Macaca fascicularis: one gene and its partners. The protein of the gene in region 1 interacts with the protein of each later gene in a pairwise test. Links are inferred from orthologs where the notes say so. Each region holds a gene or a part of one and is shown on either strand. Other genes may lie near its edges.

Evidence for each region.
Region 2: the proteins of PSTPIP1 (region 1) and CD2 interact in a two-hybrid assay, tested with the Homo sapiens proteins (2 studies listed by BioGRID and IntAct). The link is inferred for Macaca fascicularis from reciprocal best matches to the Homo sapiens genes PSTPIP1 and CD2.
Region 3: the proteins of PSTPIP1 (region 1) and PTPN12 interact in binary tests that used the Homo sapiens proteins (3 or more experiments, as listed by UniProt). The link is inferred for Macaca fascicularis from reciprocal best matches to the Homo sapiens genes PSTPIP1 and PTPN12.
Region 4: the proteins of PSTPIP1 (region 1) and PCDHB14 interact in binary tests that used the Homo sapiens proteins (3 or more experiments, as listed by UniProt). The two-hybrid records come from large-scale screens. The link is inferred for Macaca fascicularis from reciprocal best matches to the Homo sapiens genes PSTPIP1 and PCDHB14.

What each region holds. Positions count from the first base shown.
Region 1 is NC_088381.1:54,335,573-54,340,026, forward strand, and holds the end of PSTPIP1 (proline-serine-threonine phosphatase-interacting protein 1), read left to right. Parts: intron 1-813; coding exon 814-869; intron 870-1,109; coding exon 1,110-1,243; intron 1,244-2,352; coding exon 2,353-2,484; 3' UTR 2,485-2,634; downstream 2,635-4,454. UniProt on the Homo sapiens protein: Involved in regulation of the actin cytoskeleton. May regulate WAS actin-bundling activity. Bridges the interaction between ABL1 and PTPN18 leading to ABL1 dephosphorylation.
Region 2 is NC_088375.1:117,642,888-117,649,250, forward strand, and holds the start of CD2 (T-cell surface antigen CD2), read right to left. Parts: upstream 3,642-6,363; 5' UTR 3,579-3,641; coding exon 3,518-3,578; intron 3,380-3,517; coding exon 3,059-3,379; intron 1-3,058. UniProt on the Homo sapiens protein: CD2 interacts with lymphocyte function-associated antigen CD58 (LFA-3) and CD48/BCM1 to mediate adhesion between T-cells and other cell types. CD2 is implicated in the triggering of T-cells, the cytoplasmic domain is implicated in the signaling function.
Region 3 is NC_088377.1:143,833,697-143,838,222, reverse strand, and holds the end of PTPN12 (tyrosine-protein phosphatase non-receptor type 12), read left to right. Parts: intron 1-1,967; coding exon 1,968-2,075; intron 2,076-2,567; coding exon 2,568-2,629; 3' UTR 2,630-3,422; downstream 3,423-4,526. UniProt on the Homo sapiens protein: Dephosphorylates a range of proteins, and thereby regulates cellular signaling cascades. Dephosphorylates cellular tyrosine kinases, such as ERBB2 and PTK2B/PYK2, and thereby regulates signaling via ERBB2 and PTK2B/PYK2.
Region 4 is NC_088380.1:147,690,702-147,697,081, forward strand, and holds PCDHB14 (protocadherin beta-14), read left to right. Parts: upstream 1-2,916; 5' UTR 2,917-3,084; coding exon 3,085-5,481; 3' UTR 5,482-5,883; downstream 5,884-6,380. UniProt on the Homo sapiens protein: Potential calcium-dependent cell-adhesion protein. May be involved in the establishment and maintenance of specific neuronal connections in the brain.

The DNA of each region.
Region 1 (4,454 bases):
GTTCCCCTTCTCTCCTAGGAAAGCTTCACTCACCTTTGAAGACTCAGCCCCACCCCACCAAGAAGGCTTCTGGCCTTGGAGGCAGTGTCAGCCTCTACTTGTTGAGCCCTCACTACTGCCAACTTCAGGGGGTGCCCCCAGCATCTGCCTCTTCTGTTTTATTTTCCTTTATTCAGTAAACCTTCACAACCCCAGCTCAGTCCAGGCCTAAGCCTGGCACGGGGCAGGGATAAAGTAGCCCAGCGCTATCCCAGAACTCCTGTGCACAGGGTGGCTGAGCTGGCCTGATCACTGCGGGCCCACAGGGAGGAGGGCTGGCTCGGCCCAGGCAGTGGAGGCCTCAGCAGGGCACGTGAGCCAGGCTTTGTGTGGCAGTGCACCCCCACCCCTACTGGCCGGGGAAGCTGCTAGGGCAAGCTAGAGCAGGGGTCTGGAGGGTAAGGACTGGGTGTCTTCCCACGAGGCCTCAGCATGGAGGTCCTAGAACCCCCAAAAGGGCCATGGGAGTCTTCCCATGAAGCTGCAGCTTTGGGGGTTCTAGGATCCCCCCAAAGGGCCCTGCAGGGAGCAGGTGCTGCAGAGGGCGCCAGTGGAGGGCACAGCTGGGGAAGGAGGAGCCACCGGGACCACCTTCTGGGGGCCCTCCTGCCTGAGGGGCACCTCATAAATCACATCCATGCCAGGAGGCTAGGGGCAGCCCCAGCCCTGGCAGAGCGTGTGCAGCTCTGAGACTTCTCCGTGTCTAAACCCTCCTCCCGGTGGCACCCTGAGTGTGGAGCGGGGGCACTCACCCTCTTTCCTCCCCATCCCCAGGTTCTCTGGACTGCTGCACGGAAGTCCCAAGACCACTTCGTTGGCAGCTTCTGCTGGTAAAGGGGGTCAGGAGGGGACTCCCGAACACACTGATCCAGGGGGGAAGGAAAGGTCTCCCACGTGGCACAGATGGGGCCACTGAGGCCCCTCAAGGGGAAAGGTGTGTCCCCCAAAAGCAAGTATGGAGAGCGGAAGGAAGAGGCAGGGCCCAGCATGGAGAAACCCTGTTCTAGCAGAACCTCCAGGGGCCAGTGTCCCCAGAAAGGGGAGGGGTCCATGCCTCACCCTGCTCTCAGCCTCCACAGAGACCCTGACCCCCACCCCTGAGCGGAATGAGGGTGTCTACGCAGCCATCGCAGTGCAGGAGATGCAGGGAAACCCAGCCTCACCAGCCCAGGAGTACCGGGCGCTCTACGACTATACAGCGCAGGTGAGGCCCCCACACCCTAAACCCACCTGTGCCACCTCCCCTGCACCTGAGCGCTCCCTCCCCCATTCAGTGCCTCGCATCCTCATCTCTCCTGGTGGTTTCACTCATCTTCGAGCATCCTCTCCTGCTCAGGAGGGCACATGTGCCCGAGAGTTATGTCCACACTAGCAAGGGCACCTGGGAGTGTGCTCGGGCATGAGCTCTGAGAACAGCACCCAGGGCCTGGGGGGCCTCAGCGTGCATGTACTGACTGGAAGCTGGTGTGCAGCAGGCCTGTGTCTGCCGGGGCCTGTACACAGCACACATGTGGGGCACATGGGCCTGTGCCGTCCACACAGGCTGGGCGCTGCGTGGTACACACGTGCGGGGAGCTGGCAGAGCCTGGGGTTGCCTGCAGGTCATAGCTTGAGGGCCAGGCTCTGCGCCTTTGGGTCAGGGCCCTGTCCTCTGTGGCCATGGGTGTGGAAAACTGTGGCCAGAATCAGTCTTGCAATCGTGCCAGGATTGATTTTCTGATGTGCATAGGGTGAGGATGTACCAAGGCAGCCACAGGGCAGCTATGAGAGAAGGTCCACTCTGCTCCCTGCTTGAGGGAAGGGGTGCATACCCAGGCCTCACATCCACTGGACTAAGGCTAAGCACCCCCCATGGCCAGGCAGGCTGGGTGTGGGCTCCACTGACAAGGCCAGGGCTCGGGGAGGTAGGGAAGCCAGGTCAGGAGAGTGACGGGGTACTTGGATGGCAGTTGCTACCTGGGGCTGGGGACCACAAAGGGGAGGCTGTTAGGTAAGCTTGGGCGTGTGTCCTGGGCTTGGGGTGTGATGCATACCCCTGGCCCCTGACATGCTCCAGTCACTGTGTCTCCAGAGTGGGAGAGGGGAGGTACGGGTGGGGAAGAAACCCAGGTTGGGGGAGGCCTATGATGACAAACTGGGGTGGATGGGAAGCCAGGTCCCTTGGGTTACCCCCATCCTGTGTCTCCAAGGGGCTGCCCCAGCAGGCAGGGACACAGCTCGGCATGCCGCATTTACTGCTGGGTGGGGGAACACCAGGCCACACCCCTCCCCGCAGGCCCTTCTAGCGTCATGTGCTTTCAATCTCTTGGCCAGAACCCGGATGAGCTGGACCTCTCCGCGGGAGACATCCTGGAGGTGATCCTGGAAGGGGAGGATGGCTGGTGGACCGTGGAGAGGAATGGGCAGCGTGGCTTCGTCCCTGGTTCCTACCTGGAGAAGCTTTGAAGAAGGGCCAGGAGCCCCCTCGGACCTGCCCTGCCAGTGGAGCCAGCAGTGCTCCCAGCACTGACCATGCCTTGCTGGGGCCCAGAACCAAGCGTCCCCAGCCCTGAGAGACATCCTGTCTCCCAGAGAATAAAGGAGTGCGTTCTGTTCTCCTTGGTGTGCTGGGGTCTTTCTCTCCTTCTCCTGCTCCAGGGTCTGAGTGCTCAGTTCAGAGGAGGTAAAGGAACAAGGGAAGGAGCCTGGACGGCGGAGCTCCCCAACTCAGCCAAGGCTTCCGCTATAGTTGGAGGAGAAGAGGCTTGGCCCCAGTTACTAGGAGCTCCCAGACCGCCAGGGAGACACATTCACACCTGGACAGAGGATACAGGGTTGCAGGAGGATGTGGCAGGGGCAAGAAGGGGTTCAGCAGGGCTGCAATGGGGAGAGCAGGCGTCTTGGGGACAGAGAGTTGAGCAGGTCCACAGCCGGGCAGCAAAGGCCAGAGCAGAGCAAGTGCGTGGGCAAAGGTGAGGTTGGGGGTACATCCAGGAATATTCTGAGGACTCAGTCTGGAAACAGGAAGCTAGTGATGGATCTGTTGGAGAGGCCATGGTGGAAGCCGAGGAAGGCAGGCTTGTGGCTTATGGGTGCCAAGTGGGGCCTGGGGAAGCCACTGTTGTCCGTGACACTCCTGTCAACATGGCAACCCTGGCAGAGCAGGGCTCCAGAGCCCAGGCAGAGAGGGCCACAGGGGGGCCTTCAGTCCTTTTCTCTTTTTGGTCCCAGGAACATAACTTCCACCACTAGCCAAGCCCTGCTCCAACCATGATAGGCTTCATCCATGCCAAAGACATTTGGGAGTGGGTGTGGGGGAGAGGGCCCCTGGCCCTCAGTCTTGGGGGTGGCCAAGTCGGCCCACCCCACACCCGCCTGGGATCCCCACCCCGCCTCGGAGGCAGGCAGGTGCAGGACTGTAAGGGGTGGGAGGGGGGACACAGTGGTCCTCCTCTGCTGGGACCATGCTGACGAGCTGCTGCAGGGCACTGCTGTTACCCGCGGACTGTCTTTATCTGGATTGCGAACTGCTCGGCCTCTCCTCATCCATACCCTTTGAGGACTGCTCTCTACGGACACAGCTCTGTGCCAGGCCTAGGGAGGGCCGGATTTGCCCTCAAATCAGAGGAGCAAAGCCTCAGTCTGCTCCATGCAAGGAACTCTTGACCCAGTAAGGGGACCACACGGCCCAGAAAGTTTAAGAACTTTACAGGAAATGTCCCAGTGCACAGAGATGTCACCAAGGTTTCTGGGAAGAGGTGGCCCTGAACACGCAAAGGAGATAGGGGGACTCCTTTCTGCTCCTTCCTGCCTCTGGTAGCTCCACCATGACAGGGAGGGGGACGGAGGGGGAGAGAGGGAGAGAGGGAGAGAGGGAGAGAGGGAGAGAGGGAGAGAGGGAGAGAGAGGGAGAGAGAGAGAGAGGGGGAGAGAGAGAGAGAGGGGGAGAGAGAGAGAGAGGGGGAGAGAGAGAGAGAGGGGGAGAGAGAGAGAGAGAGGAGAGAGAGAGAGAGAGAGAGAGAGAGAGAGAGAGAGAGAGAGAGAGAGAGAGAGAGAGAATTCCCCTGGAATTCCCCAGGACTGAGGACTAGATGAGACTCTCTTGGCACCTCCTGCACGATGCCTGCCCCGCCACCTCTGGGGAATGGGCATCCCAGTGGGCTTTAACATCTCTAGTGACAGGGAGCTCATCACTGTCATGAGGCTTCCCCACCAGTCCTGGCTCTGCCAGGCTGGCAGCCAGCTGGCATACAGAGGCTCTCCCACATGCCCAGGCTGTCAAATGCCACCATGGCAGAAATGAGGCTTTTCACCAAGCTCTGCTCTAAGAAGAGGGCAAGAAGGGGCTCGCAGAAGGGGACTGCTCTGGTGTTTCACACGAATGCCCATCTTTATACCCTGATCTTTACTTGAGCAAAAAATTGGATTCAGTTAAG
Region 2 (6,363 bases), on another chromosome or scaffold:
TCCAGGCTGGACGACAGAGTGAGACCCTGTCTCTCTCTCTCTCTCTCTCCTTCTCTCTCTCTCTATATATATATGTAATATTTTTAAAATTAAAACTAGTTTATGTGATCTTATAGTCTGCCTTTTTCCCTTTATTGTGAAATTATATTATGACATTCTTTTTTAAATGAACATCAATAAATGCATATCTCCATCTTTTTAAAGGATGCATTCTTAATTTAATTGATTAATAAATTTCTGACTGCTGACTGTTCTAGCATTTCGCTAACATGAACAACGCAGTGACGGGAGTTGTGGAGTGGTACCTCCGTATACATTCACTAAGATAGCATCTTAGAACCGATCCAACCTAAGGCCTTCCATGGTTGAGAACTCCTTAGTTCTGAGTTGCTGGGATTAACCCCTTCCCTACCAGCATATGTTTCTAAGGAGCCCTCCACTGCCTCTTCAGCCTGCAGCAGCAACTCCCTCATGAAGGAAATGCAGGCACAACTACTGGAGTTTGAGAAGTTTGGAGGCTGGGTGCCGTGGTTCACACCTGTAATGCCAGCACTTTGGGAGGCTGATGCAAGCAGATCCTCTGAGGTCAGGAGTTTGAGACCAGCCTGACCAACATGGCATCTCTAACACAGTGAAACCCCGTCTCTACTAAAAATGCAAAAAACTAGCCGGGCGTGGTGGTGGCGCCTGTAGTCCCAGCTACTTGGGAGGCTGAGGCAGGAGAATGGTGTGAACCCGGGAGGCGGAGCTTTGAGTGAGCCAAGATCGCGCCACTGCACTCCAGCCTGGGCGACTGAGCCAGACTCCGTCCCCGCCCCCCCCCCCCGCAAAAAAAAAAATACAAAAATTAGCTGGACGTGGTAGTACACGCCTGTAATCCCAGCGACTTGGGAGGATGAGGCAGGAGAATCACTTGAACCTGGGAGGCAGAGGCTGCAGTGAGCAGAGATCATGCTGGTGCACTCCAGCCTGGGCAACAGAGCAAGACTCCATCTTACACACACACACAAAAAACAACAAAGAGAAGCTTGGAGAAACAAAGAGATGTGGGAGGGCATTAGCACTGAGCAAACAGGTATTGTGCCCTAGGCACTGCAGGGCACTTGTACACACATTGTCTCATTGAATATCCCTTGAAGTTGTCATTCAAAAATCAGACTCAGAGCAGATAGGGAATTTGCCCAAGGCCATGGTGACCTCAAGTCTGGTAATAGTGCCCAACTACAAGTTGAATCAAGATGTTGTATGACATTGGCGTGCACACACACAAAGCAAGTCGCTGTCTTTAGGCTAAAGGGTGAAGGGTTTCTTTTGGGGGCAATGAAAATGTTGATTGTGGTGATGGTTACAAAACTCTGAATATACTAAAGGCCATTTTAGTATATGGACAAATTGAATGCTAGGTGAGTTATCTCAATGAAGCTGCTTGGAAAAAAAGAGAAAAGGTCATCATCCTTGCCAAAAAGACCTCTGAGTTTGAATCCTGACTTTGCTCCTGTCAAGCAATGAGACCTTGGACAAGCTGCTTCTGACTAGGTCTCTGTTTTCTTACATATAACAAGGAGATAATAACAGCTATGTCTCAGTATTGTTGGGAGCTTTAAGTAAGATCATGTAAGCAAGCACCTGACCCCTAGCTGGTAGCCACTATTTCCACCGCAATGCTAAATGCGACCCAAATGTGAAAACACCAGCATGGTCTCCCGCGTAGGGCTCACACTCAAAACAGGACACTCAAATTTTGTGCTGTTTGGAGTCCTGAGATCTGTGGTTTCCAGAGCCCATAATCAGGGGCCCTTTTGAGCGCCATGCTCAACCCCGCTACATTTCTACAAGGTGCTCCCACTCAGGGTTGCAGGACTAGGGTGTGGAAAGTTGTCACTGCAGGGGAGCTGACAGTGTCTGGGATTGCTGGACTGGGCAATCTGACACTATCTGGGATTGCTGGTAGGCCCAGGTGCTGAAGACGGGGCTGGAGACAGAGAGGAAGAAGGAGGGGACCCTGCTTCTGGCGACATTTTCTGTGTGAAGCACAGAAATGCTTATTTGCTCACTGAATGGCTGGCCTGTGCTCATGCTGGGGTTCCTGTCTGCCTCCCCAAGTCAAGCGCAGCTTCTTCTTTTTCCTTCTTATGACTCCCTCCCCAGCATCCCCTGGGCTTTCAACTTCAATGGCATTTCGATTCCACTTTCTCTTCCTTCTCTCCCTTGCCCAAGCCACCTTTCTCTATGCCTGACCTTTATTATCCTCATTCTTCCCATTTTACAGGCACCCTTTGGTCTCGGCCAGTGGTGACTGACTTTGGCTGCTCATTATAATCCCCCAGGGAGCTTTATAACCTAATGATACCCAGGCTGCATGCAAAAACATCTGATTTAATTGGTCCTCACTTCCCTTGGATCACAGCAGCAGCTTTCTGACTAGTCTCCCTAACCCCATCCTCAATATCCACTCCTGCCCTCCCAGTACAGGTAGAGATAAATAAAGCCACACCTTGTGCATCTTCTACACATATTAGCAAAAATCACCTATCACCTTGAATCGCTCTGACAAGCAGATCCAAAACAAGGGCTGTTCATCTTTAAATATGTTGTTTCCAGGCCTTTTCTGCCATATAACTCCTCCTTCAGGGCAGCCTGGCTTGAAATGGGCTCTGTCGATGAAAGGCCCGCTGCTCTCCAGTCAGCCTTTTCCCGCCCCACTCTTAACTTGCCCATTCATCAGCAACCTGGAACAGTTGCCTTTTCTCTCTGCCCACCTGTGTCCCTCTCCTGATTAATGCCACCTTAATCCAGGTTCTTCACCCAGCCTCACATTCCTGTAACCACCTGAAGAGAGAGTTGTAGGCAGGTAGACTTCAGATGTGTCTATCAGATGTGTGGATCCCATTCCATCATTGGACCACAGTCTCCACTGGCGCAGGAGACATGCATCTGATTTCCTGTACAGCCCCCCTGGAGGCAGAGGTCAGCGTTGGGGAATATTATAAATGCTATTTTCCAACTTGCCAAATAGCACCCACACTGAAATAAAGCAATTAAGGGAATGAACACTTACCTTGAATCTTCAAATCAAATGTTTTTTCCAACACATTTTTTCCTTTTGTATCGTATATTGATACCTTGTAGCTATCCTGATCATGGATCTTCAGATGCTTAATTTTCAGAGTTCCGTTTTTAAATAGCTTATATGCATCTTTTTCCTCGAAAGTCTCCTTCTCTTTTCTGAATTGTGCAATCTTTTTCTTGTCTGAAGTTTTTTCCCATTTTATATCATCAATATCATCACTCATTTGAAAACTAGGAATGTCCAAGTCGATGTCCTGACCCAGCGCTCCCCAGGTTTCAAAAGCATTCCTAATCTCTTTGGAGACTGCACCTAGAAAAAGCAAAAGAGTTACTGAGAGTCACCTCCAGGGAAAGTTGGGTTGGGACTTCTTTGGCTCTTATGCTTACTTCAGGGTCTCCGAAGAAGAAGCTTCTAACCGTGACAGTGGAGACCCATCCACCAACTTACCTTTGGAAGAAACGTTGAAAATTAGAAGGAAGCTGGTTACAATTTTACATGGAAGGCTCATCTTAGGAGTTAGTTTCCTCTTTTGATTCTGAGCTCTTCATGCAAAAGGAACTGAAGTGAGACTGGTGGAGTCCACACCCCGAGAACTTAACCACGTGCCTCTCTTTACATCTTTTACAGTAACATAAAACACAGCACACATACACAGAGAGCGAGAGCGCGCACAAGCCAGCCCTTCTGATGTGCTCCTTTACCAAAGCAGATGTGTTTATGAGTGTGTGTTTTCTTACCGCATTTTAATCCTCACAAAAAATTGGGATGGATGGATTTTCTCATCTCAGTGAAAGAGAAAAGGAACATAGAGGCTAAGTAGATGAATAAGGATCAGTCTTTTGTAAACAAGAAGCCAAATTCAACCTCCCAGCCTTTTATCCACTTAGGTATACTGTCCCTAACAAGACCACAGAGAAATATAGGTAAATGTTCACAAGCCAAGCCATTAGCAGAATGCAAATATTTATCCTATATGATTATAAATATTGAAAAGTATGCCCATAAAATGATTAGGAAATTGATTTTTTTGTTTCTCCAAAGATATTTTTCATGTTCTAAAATCGTTTTTGTGATGAAAAGAAAGAAATTAAGTATCAGCTGTAAATGCTTGCAATCCCCAAATCCTATGTTCGGGGTACATTTTACAACCCTAGTGAAATTCACAGTTAGGTAAATAGAAACTTGTTCCAAAACAAAGAAGCATGGAGACTATGAAATACAATTAAACCACCAAAACAAAGGAGTCAAAAGCATTTAAAGTGATTAACATTATAGGTGGTTAAGAAAAAGGAGAGATTAGGAGAAAAAGAAATGAGGGAGAGAAAAAGAGAACAGAAATTTGTGACACAAGGAAAGAGACAATGATGCAGAGATGCATGTGCCCTGAAAAGATGCCTAAAAAGAGGAATAACCATGACAGACTTCCAAAGCACATTTTCAGCGTTACAATTCTTTAGGTCACAGTGAGTAAAAACTGTAAAAGAGGTGCTTGTTTTCTTTTTCAACTCTAAGTACAAATATGGATATTATCTGTCAGAAAGTTGCCAAGGAAATGAAATTAAGTCAAAGCAGTTGTTTGCTATTACTGGGTAAAAGGAAGCCCAAATATTTACCTCATGGTTGTATGAGCATCTTCCACAATAATGCACAACAGTTGAATTAAAATTTTAAATGCAAAAATACTACAATAATGCTAAAAGGAGGCCGGGCGTGGCGGCTCACAGCTATAATCCCAGCACTCTGGGAGGCCGAGGCGGACCTCCTCACCTTAGGTCAGGAGTTCAAGACCAACCTGGCCAACGTGGTGAAACCCCATCTCTACTAAAACTACAAAAATTAGCCAGGCATGGTGACGTGTGCCTGTAATTCCAGCTACTCAGGAGGCTGAGGCAGGCGAAGTGCTTGAACCTGGGAAGCAGAGGTTGCAATGAGCCAGGATGGTGTCACTGCACTCCAGCCTGGGCGGCAGAGTGAGACTCTGTCTCAAAAAAAATAAAATAAAATAAAATAATTAATTAATTAAAATGCTAAAAGGACAATACAGAAAGATATTCTTATAGCTTGAGTATGGAAGGCCTATCTACATATAACACATAATCCAAAGTAAGAAGGAAAGGATGAACACAATTGATGATGTAAAGAAGTAAGATTTATGTGCAGATGAAGAAATAAGGAACAAAATGAAAAGGCATGACAAAATACTTGCGATATGTATAAAATTATTAATATTCAAAACATAGAAATAATTCTTATCAATCAATACAAAATAGTTTTTAAAATGGGCAAAGGATATAAATGATCAGCTTACAGAAGAAGTAGTTCACAGAAGAAATATCAAACCCGCAAGAGGAGTCCAATGTCACCAGAATTATATGCATATATCTTAGCTATAAAATACCATTTTTCACCATCAGATTGGCAAAATTAGGAAAAATGATAATTTACATTATTAACATGAATGTGTGGAGAAATGAACCTTCATACAACATCAGAGGGAATATAAATCAACACCTTCTGGGGAAAGGAATTTCATTTCCACCAAACTTTAAAATTTGTCTTTTTTTCACCGAGTGATTTTAACTTCAGACATCTATCCCACACATATGAAAGCACGGATGTTTTAAAATGCTGTTCAAGGACGTTTGTTGTATCATTTTTGTAATAAAAAATTGCAAACCAGTAAAATTATAGTATATTCATATTATGAAATATTGCATAAGCATCAAAATAGTATAACATAGGCCTAAAAGTAAGACATGGAAAGATGCTTTTGGAAAATCACATGAAAAGAGTAAATTGCAAAACAATATCTATAGGATTAGTCCTTTTTATATATGATACTGTGTTTATACTATGCTACGGGTATACCAGTATACTGTATCATACTCTGTTGTTCTTAAGGTATGTGTGAGAAAAAAGCCTGAAAGGGCTGATGGTGAATTTTTTTACAGTGCTTGTCTTTCAGGTATTAGACTGCGAGAGAACCGAAATGAAATCTTCACTTCTTACCTTTGTAAACCAAAAAAATACTTGAGATAGGTCTCAATCAATTTAGAAGTTTATTTCATCAACATTAAGGACAAAAAGGAACACAGAACCACAGGAACAATCTGTGGTTTGTGCCTTTTTCTCAACATGGTTTTGAAGGCTTCAGTATTTAAAGGGGAAAAGCCGGTCAGAGGGGAAGGAGGGAGGACACGGTCACATTACTGAATCCATATGTTGCAAGAGAAAAGAAGCAGGTAGGGGAATGGTCAATTGTGTATTCTTCTCATGCTCAGTAAATTGGCACT
Region 3 (4,526 bases), on another chromosome or scaffold:
ACATGACCTTTACTTCACAGAGAAAATGGAGGCTGTTTAGTCTAGGATCATCATTTCCTCCTAGAATATGGCTCTGAATATCTCACCACCACTAGTCTCATATAAATGCCTCTCCTCTTTGTCTCTATTGCACATTATGCATAATTTTATTTAAAAGCTTATCACACTGCTATAATAATTAATATATCTCTCTGTGTCTCCTACTAGACCAGGGTTTGGCATTGCACGGCCTATAGCCCTAATGTTTGTTATGCCCTTGAGCTAAACCAATGGCTTTTATGTTTTTAAAGAGTTGTTTAAAAAGAAGAACAATGAAGCTAACAAAACCAAAGAAGAGTTTGTGGCAGTGATCTTAAGTGATTTGCAAGACCTAAACTACTTATTTTCTATTTTATTGTTCTCTAGCTTTATTTTCTTTAAGAAGTTTGTGGGGCCTGGTGTGGTGACTCATGCCTGTAATCCCAACACTTTGGGAGGCCGAGGCAGGCAGTCACAAGATCAGGAGTTCAAGACCAGCCTAGCCAACATGACAAAACCGCAACTCTACTAAAAATACAAAAATGTGGCGAGCACCTGTAATCCCAGCTGCTTGGGAGGCTGAGGCAGGAAAATCACTTGAACCGGGAGGTGGAGGTTGCACTGAGCTGAGATTGTGCCATTGCACTCTAGCCTGGGTGACAAGAGCAAGACTCCATCTCAAAAAAAAAAAAAAAAAAAGTCTGTGGGCTCCTTTCCAGACTGTAAGCATCTTGAGGATGGGGATTGTCTGTTATTTTACTTGTATTCCAAGTTTCCAGAAAGGTTCCTCATGGAGGTATGGGGTATGTTCAAGACTGTGAAAGAATGAATGAATTATAGTAGTTAATTTCTTTTGTTACTAATGTTGAACATTGGTAATTAAAGAGTGAACTACAATCTAAACAACATAAAACTTTAAAAGTAGTTAGATCTGGCGTCGTGGCTCACACCTATAATCCCAGCACTTTGGGAGGCCAAGGCGGGCGATGACCTGAGGTCAGGAGTTTGAAACCAGCCTTGAGCAACATGGTTAAACCCCATCTCTACTTAAAATAAAAAAGTAGCTGGGCATCATGGCTGCCGCCTGTAATCCCAGTTACTAGGGAGATTGAGGCAGGAGAATCCCTTGAACCCAGGAGGCGGAGGTTGCAGTGAGCTGAGATTGCGCCATTGTACTCCAACCTGGGCAACAAGAGGGAAACTCTGTCTAAAAAAAAAGTTGCGTTGTTATTTCAGGTGGAAATATTTCATTAATTAACCTTGACCTTGTTGATTTCTTTTTTTTTTTTTTTTTTTTTTGAGATGGAGTCTCGCTCTGTCGCCTCGGCTGGAATGCAATGGCACGATCTTGGGTCACTGCAAGCTCTGCCTCCTGGGTTCACGCCATTCTTCTGCCTTGGCCTCCCGAATAGCTGGGACTACAGTCGCTCGCCACCATGCCCAGCTAACTTTTTTGTATTTTTTTAGTAGGGATGGGGTTTCACCGTGTTAGTCAGGATGGTCTCAATCTCCTGACCTCGTGATCCACCCGCCTCAACCTCCCAAAGTGCTGGGATTACAGGTGTGAGCCACCGCTCCTGGACTGACCTTGTTGATTTCCATACAAAGGCATTTCAGTTGCAATTATTCCCTTAGAACATAGGCATATAGTATAGCTACCTTAAGGGAATGTAATATGTCAAGACCTAGATTTAGGAAATAAAAATAATGAGAATCCTCACGTTGCAGAAGTACTCACTGCAGATTTCTGTGTGACCACAATAATACCTGACATGATTTTCTGTGCTCACTACGTTTGTATTTATACTGATCTTGACCTATAAAATTATGGTGCCCAGGAGAGAAAATTTTCTCTTTTCATGCTTGCCAACATTTAAAAAATTAAAGAGTTGTATATATACGATGCTACAAAGCATGGTGATTAACAAAGGTTTTGTGTTGCTATTTAGATCATCCAGCGGGAGGTATTCACTACGAGATGTGTACAGAATGTCCACCTACTTTCAGTGACAAGAGAGAACAAACATCAGAAAGTCCAACAGAAGCCACAGATATTGGTAATTTCTTTAATAAATAATTTTTAGTAAGTAGTTAACACTGGCAAGAATGAGAAAAGCTCATTTGCCATTGTGAAGTGACACTTGCCAAGAATAAAGTATATGATTTTCCAAAGTTGCTTGAACTAGTCATGAAATAAATGAAGCACTTAATTCTATTTCACATTGAGATTAAAAACTAAAATAGAAAACTGCAGTATATTAAAAAAATCTTTTGTGTTGGACAGACTAAATTATCTTGGATGTTTTTCTTACATTGTGATAAAATTGGTTTATTTTCAGCATAAGATTTTTAAAAGAAGCAATCATTTTCAGTTACCCCAGATAAATTTACAATCGTTTTGCATTTACAGAGTTTTGTTTGGCTTAAATTCTAAATTCCCTTGTGGAAATTTATTTGTTCCAGAAAATCAGAATGTCTGTGGACATGGTTTTTAGTAGTTTAAAAGTATTTCTGAACACTGACTAGTTACTGTGGTATTTTCACTGTAGGTTTTGGTAATCGATGTGGAAAACCCAAAGGACCCAGAGATCCACCTTCAGAATGGACATGATTCAGGGAGCTAAAAGACACTTTTAAGTTATACTGGAAAATTCAGGTGCCACTGAAAGCCAGATTTATAGTATTCCATCTTTAATATGTGGGACTAACAGCAGTGTAGATTGTTACTTTAATATTTTTTGCTGGGACCATCTACCTGCCTTATACTATACTTAGGAAAAAGTATTACATATGGTTTATTTTGAAACTTCAAGTATTATTGCCTTAACGTCTCTTAACCCTGTTACACGCTGCTTGTAGACATGTTAATATAGTAATACTTTTATGATATATTGAGTTTAAGGACTACTCTTTTTCTGTTTTATCATGTATGCATTATTTTGTATATGTACAGGGCAAGTAGGTATATAATTTGATAAAGTTGCAATCGAAATATTATTAACAGAAGATGTAAGAAATTTCTGCATGGTCTAAATCTTTGTGTACTTTATTTGTAAATTATTTGCCCTGGAGTTTTAGAAAATAGTTTCTGAATTTTAAACTTGCTGGATTCATGCAGCCAGCTTTGCAGGTTATCAGAGATCAAAGATTGTAATAATAATACATTTTGTAAATTGTAAGCAAAGTTATTTTTATATTATATACAGTCTAATTGTTCATCCTAATTGTTCTTGTTTTCATCTAGTCAGAGATTCAGTAAGTGCCTTGGAACAATATTGAATTCTCTTAGCTTGTGTGTGTTTCTTTAATATTTGAACTCAACTGGGATTAGAAGACTATCAAAATACATGTATGTTTCAGGATATTTGACCTGCCATTAAAAAAACAAACAATTTTACAGCGCCTACTTGTTGCCTTGGCTTTTCATTTTTCATTCCTAGGAAATTGGACTTAACTATCAGCCTTCTTGCTGGCTCAGTCTTGGTAGGAAATGAATGTGAATGGGGTTTAATCTCTTTTTTTTTTCTTTTTTTAGACAGTATCACTCTGTCACCCAGGCTGGAGTACAGTGGTGCCATCTCGGCTCACTGCAACCTCCACTTCCCAGGTTCAAGTGATTCTCCTGCCTCAGCCTCCCAAGTAGCTGGGATTACAGGCACCCGCCACCACGCCCAGCTAATTTTTATATTTTCAGTAGAGATGGTTTCACTGTGTTGGCCAGGCTGGTCTCAAACTCCTGAACTCAGGTGATCCGCCCACCTTGGCCTCCCAAAGTGCTGGGATTACAGGCATGAGTCACCATGCCAGGCCTAATCTCTTAATTAGGGAATAGCGAGTACCTTCTGCCAAAAACATGGCTGTGCCAATTCTAAATACTTATTGCCCCTAGGCATTCCTCATCCTTATCATTACTAGCCTACCAAAGTCCTAGTAGAAAGCCCAACAGAGGGGGCCAGATGGGGTGGCTCACGCCTGTTATTCCAGCTCTTTGGGAGGCCAAGGAGGGCAGATCACTTGAGGTCAGGAGTTCAAGACCAGCTTGGCCAACATGGTGAAACCCCTTCTCTACTAAAATTACAAAAAAATTAGCTGGGTGTGGTGGCACATATCTGGAATCCCAGCTACTAAAGAGGCTGAGGCAGGAGAATTGCTTGAACCTAGGAGATGGAGGTTGCAGTGAGCCAAGATTGCACCACGGCACTCTGGTCTGGGCAACAGAGCAAGACTACATCTCAAAAAAAAAAAAGAAAAGAAAAAGAAAACCAAACCAAGGGGATGTTGGGAACGAAAACTGGTTTCTTATCCCAAGACTGGAGCACAGATTCCATTCCTCAGTACTAAGTCTGAATTTTGACAACTGTAGATTGGAGTTGTTGGATGTCTGTATTTTCCCTCTGCATATGAAAGAATGAAGAAATTATGAAACTAAAGTACATGGAAAACCTTATATGAGTAGAAGGGGGATTATTGTGGAGGAGAAAGTAATACTACAATTTCTTGTTAAATTT
Region 4 (6,380 bases), on another chromosome or scaffold:
TATCCCTTCTGTATCTTAATTTTCTCCTTCCCTACTGAACATTACACATTGGCATTTTAAGTATATTCAAGTTTCTCTAGTCTTTAAAATATCCTCTGAGTGAATTCTTCTCCAGATACCAATGTATTTCTTATTCCTTTTACAACCTTTTCATTCTTTACAAATATCTTGAGAGCCTGGCTGCAGTGAGCCAGTGAGCCTGGGTGACAGATAGAGACCCTGTCTCAAAAAAAAAATTGTCGAAAGAGTGGTCTACTTTATTTTTTCTTCCTCATCCCTCTCACTTTGCACCAAAGTACAATCTAATTTTCATCACAACCATTCTACTGAAACTGCTGTTGCAAAGGTTATCAAAGATTTCCATATAAGTTAAGTAAGATTATACTGTGGAACCAACGTGATGCAATGAAACAGTGGCTTGTAAACATGTCACTCTTTTTCACATGACAGTACCAATGTAAAAATTATTAGGTAGGTAAGGCAGCTTTGATCCTCACAGTCCTTGCAAAACGAAATTTTCTTTCAAGTAATTTCTTCAACATTCCCTATGGCAATACAATCTGCATGGGTGTAGCTGGGTCACTGCCACATCTGGGTCACTGCCACATCTGGGTTCTAGCTCGCTTGGAAGAAAGAGTCATTCAGATGACTTTTGTTCTATAACTGGAAGAGGCAGACAGAAATTCTGCTCACAATCCATCTGTGAGAACTTAATTCACTTGGCCACACTCAAATACAGGAGAGGCTGGGATGCACAATCTACCTTCATGGCCACATACCTGGGTACAGTTCTATTACTATAGAAGCAAGGGAAAACAGATTTTGTCAGACATCTATCAGAATCCTCCACAATGACCATCTTTTTAAGTCCAATGGATAATTGTCATGCTTATTTTTCTTGACTTTTCTGAGGCATTTGCAGCTGTCGATCTTCCTCGTCTCCTTAAAATGCTATTTGCTTTTGATTTCATGGTTTTGAACTCTGAGCCTTCTTTATCTTTTCAGATATGCTTCTTGCCCTGTCTCCTCTAAATGAAGATGTTTCTCAGACTTCTGTGCCAAGCCTCTTCTATACTTATTTGACACACTTCTGCTTGGTTATCCTAGAGCATTCATGGTTTCAATCACCATATATATATATACACATATATACTGATGAATCCCAAAGTTCATATCGTCAGCCCAGGTTTATTTCCTATGCTTTGGTTATAGGCAAACACACACACACACACACACATACACACACACACCACAAACACACAAACACACATCCTACAGGCGCTTACCTCAATATCAGCATGTTCAAAACTGACACTTCATCTTTTTGCACCCCAATCATGTTTTTTTAGCATTCCCTGTCCTAGCAAATGACACCACTAGTCATCGAGTTTCCCAGTCCGGAGGTGTGATATCATCTCTGAGTCTTTCCCCTTTTTCTCCCCATGCAACCTATCAACCAACAGTTGAAAATATTTCATCTCCTCATACCTTTCTACTCATCCCTCTTCTCTGTATCCGCACTGGCATTATCCTCTTCCAGACTACCATCATCTCTTATCTGATCTCCTTGATTCTCCAGTCATTCCCCCTGAAATTAATTCTCCATACTTCAGCCAAACTGATTTTTTAAATGCAGATGTGATCATGTTAATCAGACATTTAAAACCCATCTTTGTACTTGAATTACATTTAGGATAAATGCAAGAACGCATGATATGACCTGTATAATGATTCACATTCTCACCCTGCTTTCAACCCTAATTTCATTATTAGACCCTCCCTTTCCACAGTTTTTAAAGTCCAAGGCATACTTCACTTCTCTGTGTTCCTCAAAATGCCCATCTGAAATATTCCTCCTTCTCCTGGCTAGTTCCTTCAGATCACAATGTATTATTCATTACGTCAGGAAAGCTTTCACTGATGTCCCAAGTCCTATTTAGATCTTAATTATTTTATTTTTGACAGACACTTAACCAGCACTTACAAACCACTTGGTAAATATTAATTCACTAGATGCCTATGATAATAATCATGGGAGGCAAATATTATTATTACCCCATTTTACAGGTGAGGAAACAAAGATATCTATAACTTGCCCAAGCTTATAGTGAGTTACATAACCAGGATTCTAATATTGATAATTTGGTTCCAGATCCCATATTCCTAAGCACTAAAGTATGCAGCCCATAGGTACAAGAAGCCCTTTCTAGATATTTCTATATTACTTTTTACAAATGCATACATTATGACATACTTCATTTACTTGTCTGCCAATTTTTCTAGCTTGTGAGCTCCATAAGAGCAAGGATTATCTCTAGCTTATTTGTGCCATGTCCTTCTTTGTATTTTCAAAATATGAAAGTGAAAAAAGTAATGACATTACTATGATTGACAACAAGTATTTACAAGAGTGAAAGAGAGAATATATTTGTAATTACTCAAGAAATGACTTAAATAAAAAATTATTTCTTCAGTTCAGAATATTTTAACAGATCCTTTAGTGTCGAGCATTCAAAACAGTGATAATGCAGTGTATAGACATTTTCTGGATTCAAATTCAAACAAACCATCAGCAAAGGACGTTTTGGAGAGAACTGGGGAAAACCAAATGCAGGATAAATTACATCGAGGAATTATTGCTCAAGTTGTTGATTGTGAACGTTATGTTGCAATTATCTTTTAGAATGCCTTATCTATTAGAAATACTTAGTAAAGTATTTAAAGGTAAAAAAAAAATGTTGTCTGGGATTTGTTTTGAATGTTCCGGATGTATTTATGATTTACTTTTTCAAAGAGGAAAACTTTTTAATGAAAAAAAAAAGAAAAAGAAAAAAAAGAAAAGCATAGAGACACATGGTGGCGCTACAGGATAAGACGAAAACTGTACATAGGCTGGCACAGTGAGCTTCGCTATTCAGAACAGAAAGCATCCAACCCACTGAAAAGACAGGCATTAAAGGAGCTTTGCCTACAGAGCTGCTGGAGGATACACTGTCCAGGGGGTTCCTATTAAAAACCAGAGCTTCAGCTTCCAAAATTAGGGCTGAGCTTCAATTTTTCCACAAGAGGTTGCCTAAAGGAACCATGGAGATCAGAGGGTCACTCGATCTACGAAAAAGGCAAGTTCTAATATTCCTTGTTTTGCTGGGATTGTCTCGGGCAGATACTGAATCTGCACACTATTCTGTGGCAGAGGAAACAGAAATTGGCTCATTTGTGGCTAATCTAGCGAGGGACCTAGGGCTGGGGGTGGAGGAGCTGTCTTCACGTGAAGCCCGGGTAGTGTCTGATGATAATAAAAAGTATTTGCACCTTGATTTGCTGACTGGGGATTTGCTCCTAAATGAGAAACTAGACCGAGATGAGCTGTGTGGCTCCACCGAGCCCTGTGTGCTGCATTTTCAGGTGGTTTTGGAAAACCCTTTACAGTTTTTTCGGGTTGAGCTGCATGTCAAAGACATAAATGATCACTCCCCTACATTCCTAGACAAGGAAATACTTATTAAAATATCAGAAGGTACCACTATTGGAACTACATTCCTAATGGAGAGTGCTCAAGATTTGGATGTCGGAAGCAACAGTCTCCAAAACTACACAATTAGCCCCAATTCTCACTTCCACATTAAAATTCCAGACAGTAGTGACAGAAAGATATACCCAGAGCTGGTCCTAGATAGAGCTTTAGATTATGAACAGGAAGCTGAACTCAGATTAACACTCACAGCACTGGATGGTGGATCCCCGCCCAAGTCTGGGACAACTTTGGTTCTCATTAAGGTGTTGGACATCAATGATAATGCCCCTGAGTTTCCTCAGAGTCTCTATGAGGTGCAAGTCCCCGAGGATAGACCCATTGGCTCCTGGATTGTCACCATCTCAGCTAAGGATCTGGATGCAGGAAACTATGGGAAAATATCTTACACATTTTTCCATGCATCAGAAGATATTCGTAAAACATTTGAAATTAATCCAATATCTGGGGAAGTTAATTTGAGATCACCCCTGGATTTTGAAGTGATACAGTCCTACACTATAAATATTCAGGCAACAGATGGTGGGGGTCTTTCAGGAAAATGCACCCTTCTAGTTAAAGTTATGGATATAAACGACAATCCACCAGAAGTGACCATATCATCGATTACAAAGAGAATTCCAGAGAATGCCTCAGAGACTCTAGTAGCTCTTTTTAGTGTAGTAGACCAAGACTCTGGAGACAATGGGAGGATGATTTGCTCTATTCAAGATAACCTCCCCTTTTTCCTGAAACCGACCTTCAAGAACTTTTTCACTCTAGTTTCTGAAAAAGCACTGGACAGAGAGAGCCAAGCAGAGTACAACATCACGATCACCGTCACAGACTTGGGGACCCCCAGGCTGAAAACCGAGTACAACATAACCGTGCTGGTCTCCGACGTCAATGACAACGCTCCCGCCTTCACCAGAACCTCCTACACCCTGTTCGTCCGCGAGAACAACAGCCCCGCCCTGCACATCGGCAGCGTCAGCGCCACAGACAGAGACTCAGGCACCAACGCCCTGGTCACCTACTCGCTGCTGCCGTCCCAGGACCCGCACCTGCCCCTCTCCTCCCTGGTCTCCATCAACACAGACAACGGCCACCTGTTCGCCCTCCGCTCGCTGGACTACGAGGCCTTGCAGGAGTTCGAGTTCCGCGTGGGCGCCACAGACCGCGGCTCCCCGGCGCTGAGCAGCGAGGCGCTGGTGCGCGTGCTGGTGCTGGATGCCAACGACAACTCGCCTTTCGTGCTGTACCCTCTGCAGAACGGCTCCGCTCCCTGCACCGAGCTGGTGCCCCGGACGGCCGAGCCGGGCTACCTGGTGACCAAGGTGGTGGCGGTGGACGGCGACTCGGGCCAGAACGCCTGGCTGTCGTACCAGCTACTCAAGGCCACGGAGCCCGGGCTGTTCGGTGTGTGGGCGCACAATGGCGAGGTGCGCACCGCCAGGCTGCTGAGCGAACGTGAGGCGGCCAGGCATAGGCTGGTGGTGCTGGTCAAGGACAATGGCGAGCCTCCGCGCTCGGCCACCGCCACGCTGCACGTGCTACTGGTGGACGGCTTCTCGCAGCCCTACCTGCCTCTCCCTGAGGCGGTCCCCGCCCAGGCCCAGGCCGACTCGCTCACCGTCTACCTGGTAGTGGCATTGGCCTCAGTGTCGTCGCTGTTCCTCTTGTCGGTGCTCCTGTTCGTGGCGGTGCGGCTGTTCAGGAGGAGCAGAGCTGCCTCGGTGGGTCGCTGCTCGGTGCCCAAGGGCCCCTTTCCAGGACATCTGGTGGACGTGAGCGGCACCGGGACCCTATCCCAGAGCTACCAGTACGAGGTGTGTCTGACAGGAGGTTACGGGACAAATGAGTTCAAATTTCTGAAGCCGATTATCCCCAATTTTCAAGTTCATGACACTGGTAAGAATATGGGGGAAATTGAGAACTTTCGAAATAGCTTTGGATTTAACATAGAATAAAACAATTTATTTTAAATTTCTAATTTTTAGTTATTTTTTGCAAGCTGATGGTACTTTTTGCATAATCTTTTGTGGATTTTTGGTTGTATTGTAGTTGCATGCATGATTATAGCTCTTGTTTTTCTCACAGTTTCTTTAAAAATCTTTATTAGTGGCTATAATGACATGGAAATGTAATCTGTGTTTTCTGGTTTTTCATTTATTTGGTCAAAATGTTATATTAATGGAGTTATTGCTATTTTTGCTGTGATAATGGTATCGTTATGTAAGACAATGTTCTCAATTATTTGGAGATGCAAACTAAAGTATTAAGAGCTAATGTCATTATATATGTAACTTAAATCTAGACACCATCAAAACATAAAGTAAAAATAAAAAGTGTTGCTGAATCTGGGTCGAAAATATAGTGCATTTATCACACTATTCTCTCTGAAAATGTTCTTTAAAAAGGATAAAAAAGATGCTATCCCTCCATTTTCAGTTCTGGAGAACCTTATAAGTTTTTCAAATATTTACTTTATGATGAAACTTAAGTGGTCACATTGGAAATTATTAATTTCTTAAGTAATTTTTTCTGTAACTACTTTTGTTGATAATCCTGTTGTGGAGGAAGAGTCTTATAATGCTCTGGGCTTTGCTGTCACTCTTTAGTTTTCTTAATTTAATTTTATTTATTTATGTTTTTTGAGACAGGGTCTCATTCCATTGCCCTGGCTGGAATGCAGTGGCACTGTCATGGCTCACTGCAGCCTTGACTTCCTGGGTTCAGGTGATTCTCCTGCCTCAGACTCCTGAGTAGCTGGGACCAGTGGCACAGGCGACCATAGCCCGGCTAATTCTTTTGTAATTTTTTTGTACAGACGGAATATTGCCATGTTTTCCAGTCTGGTCTGGAACTC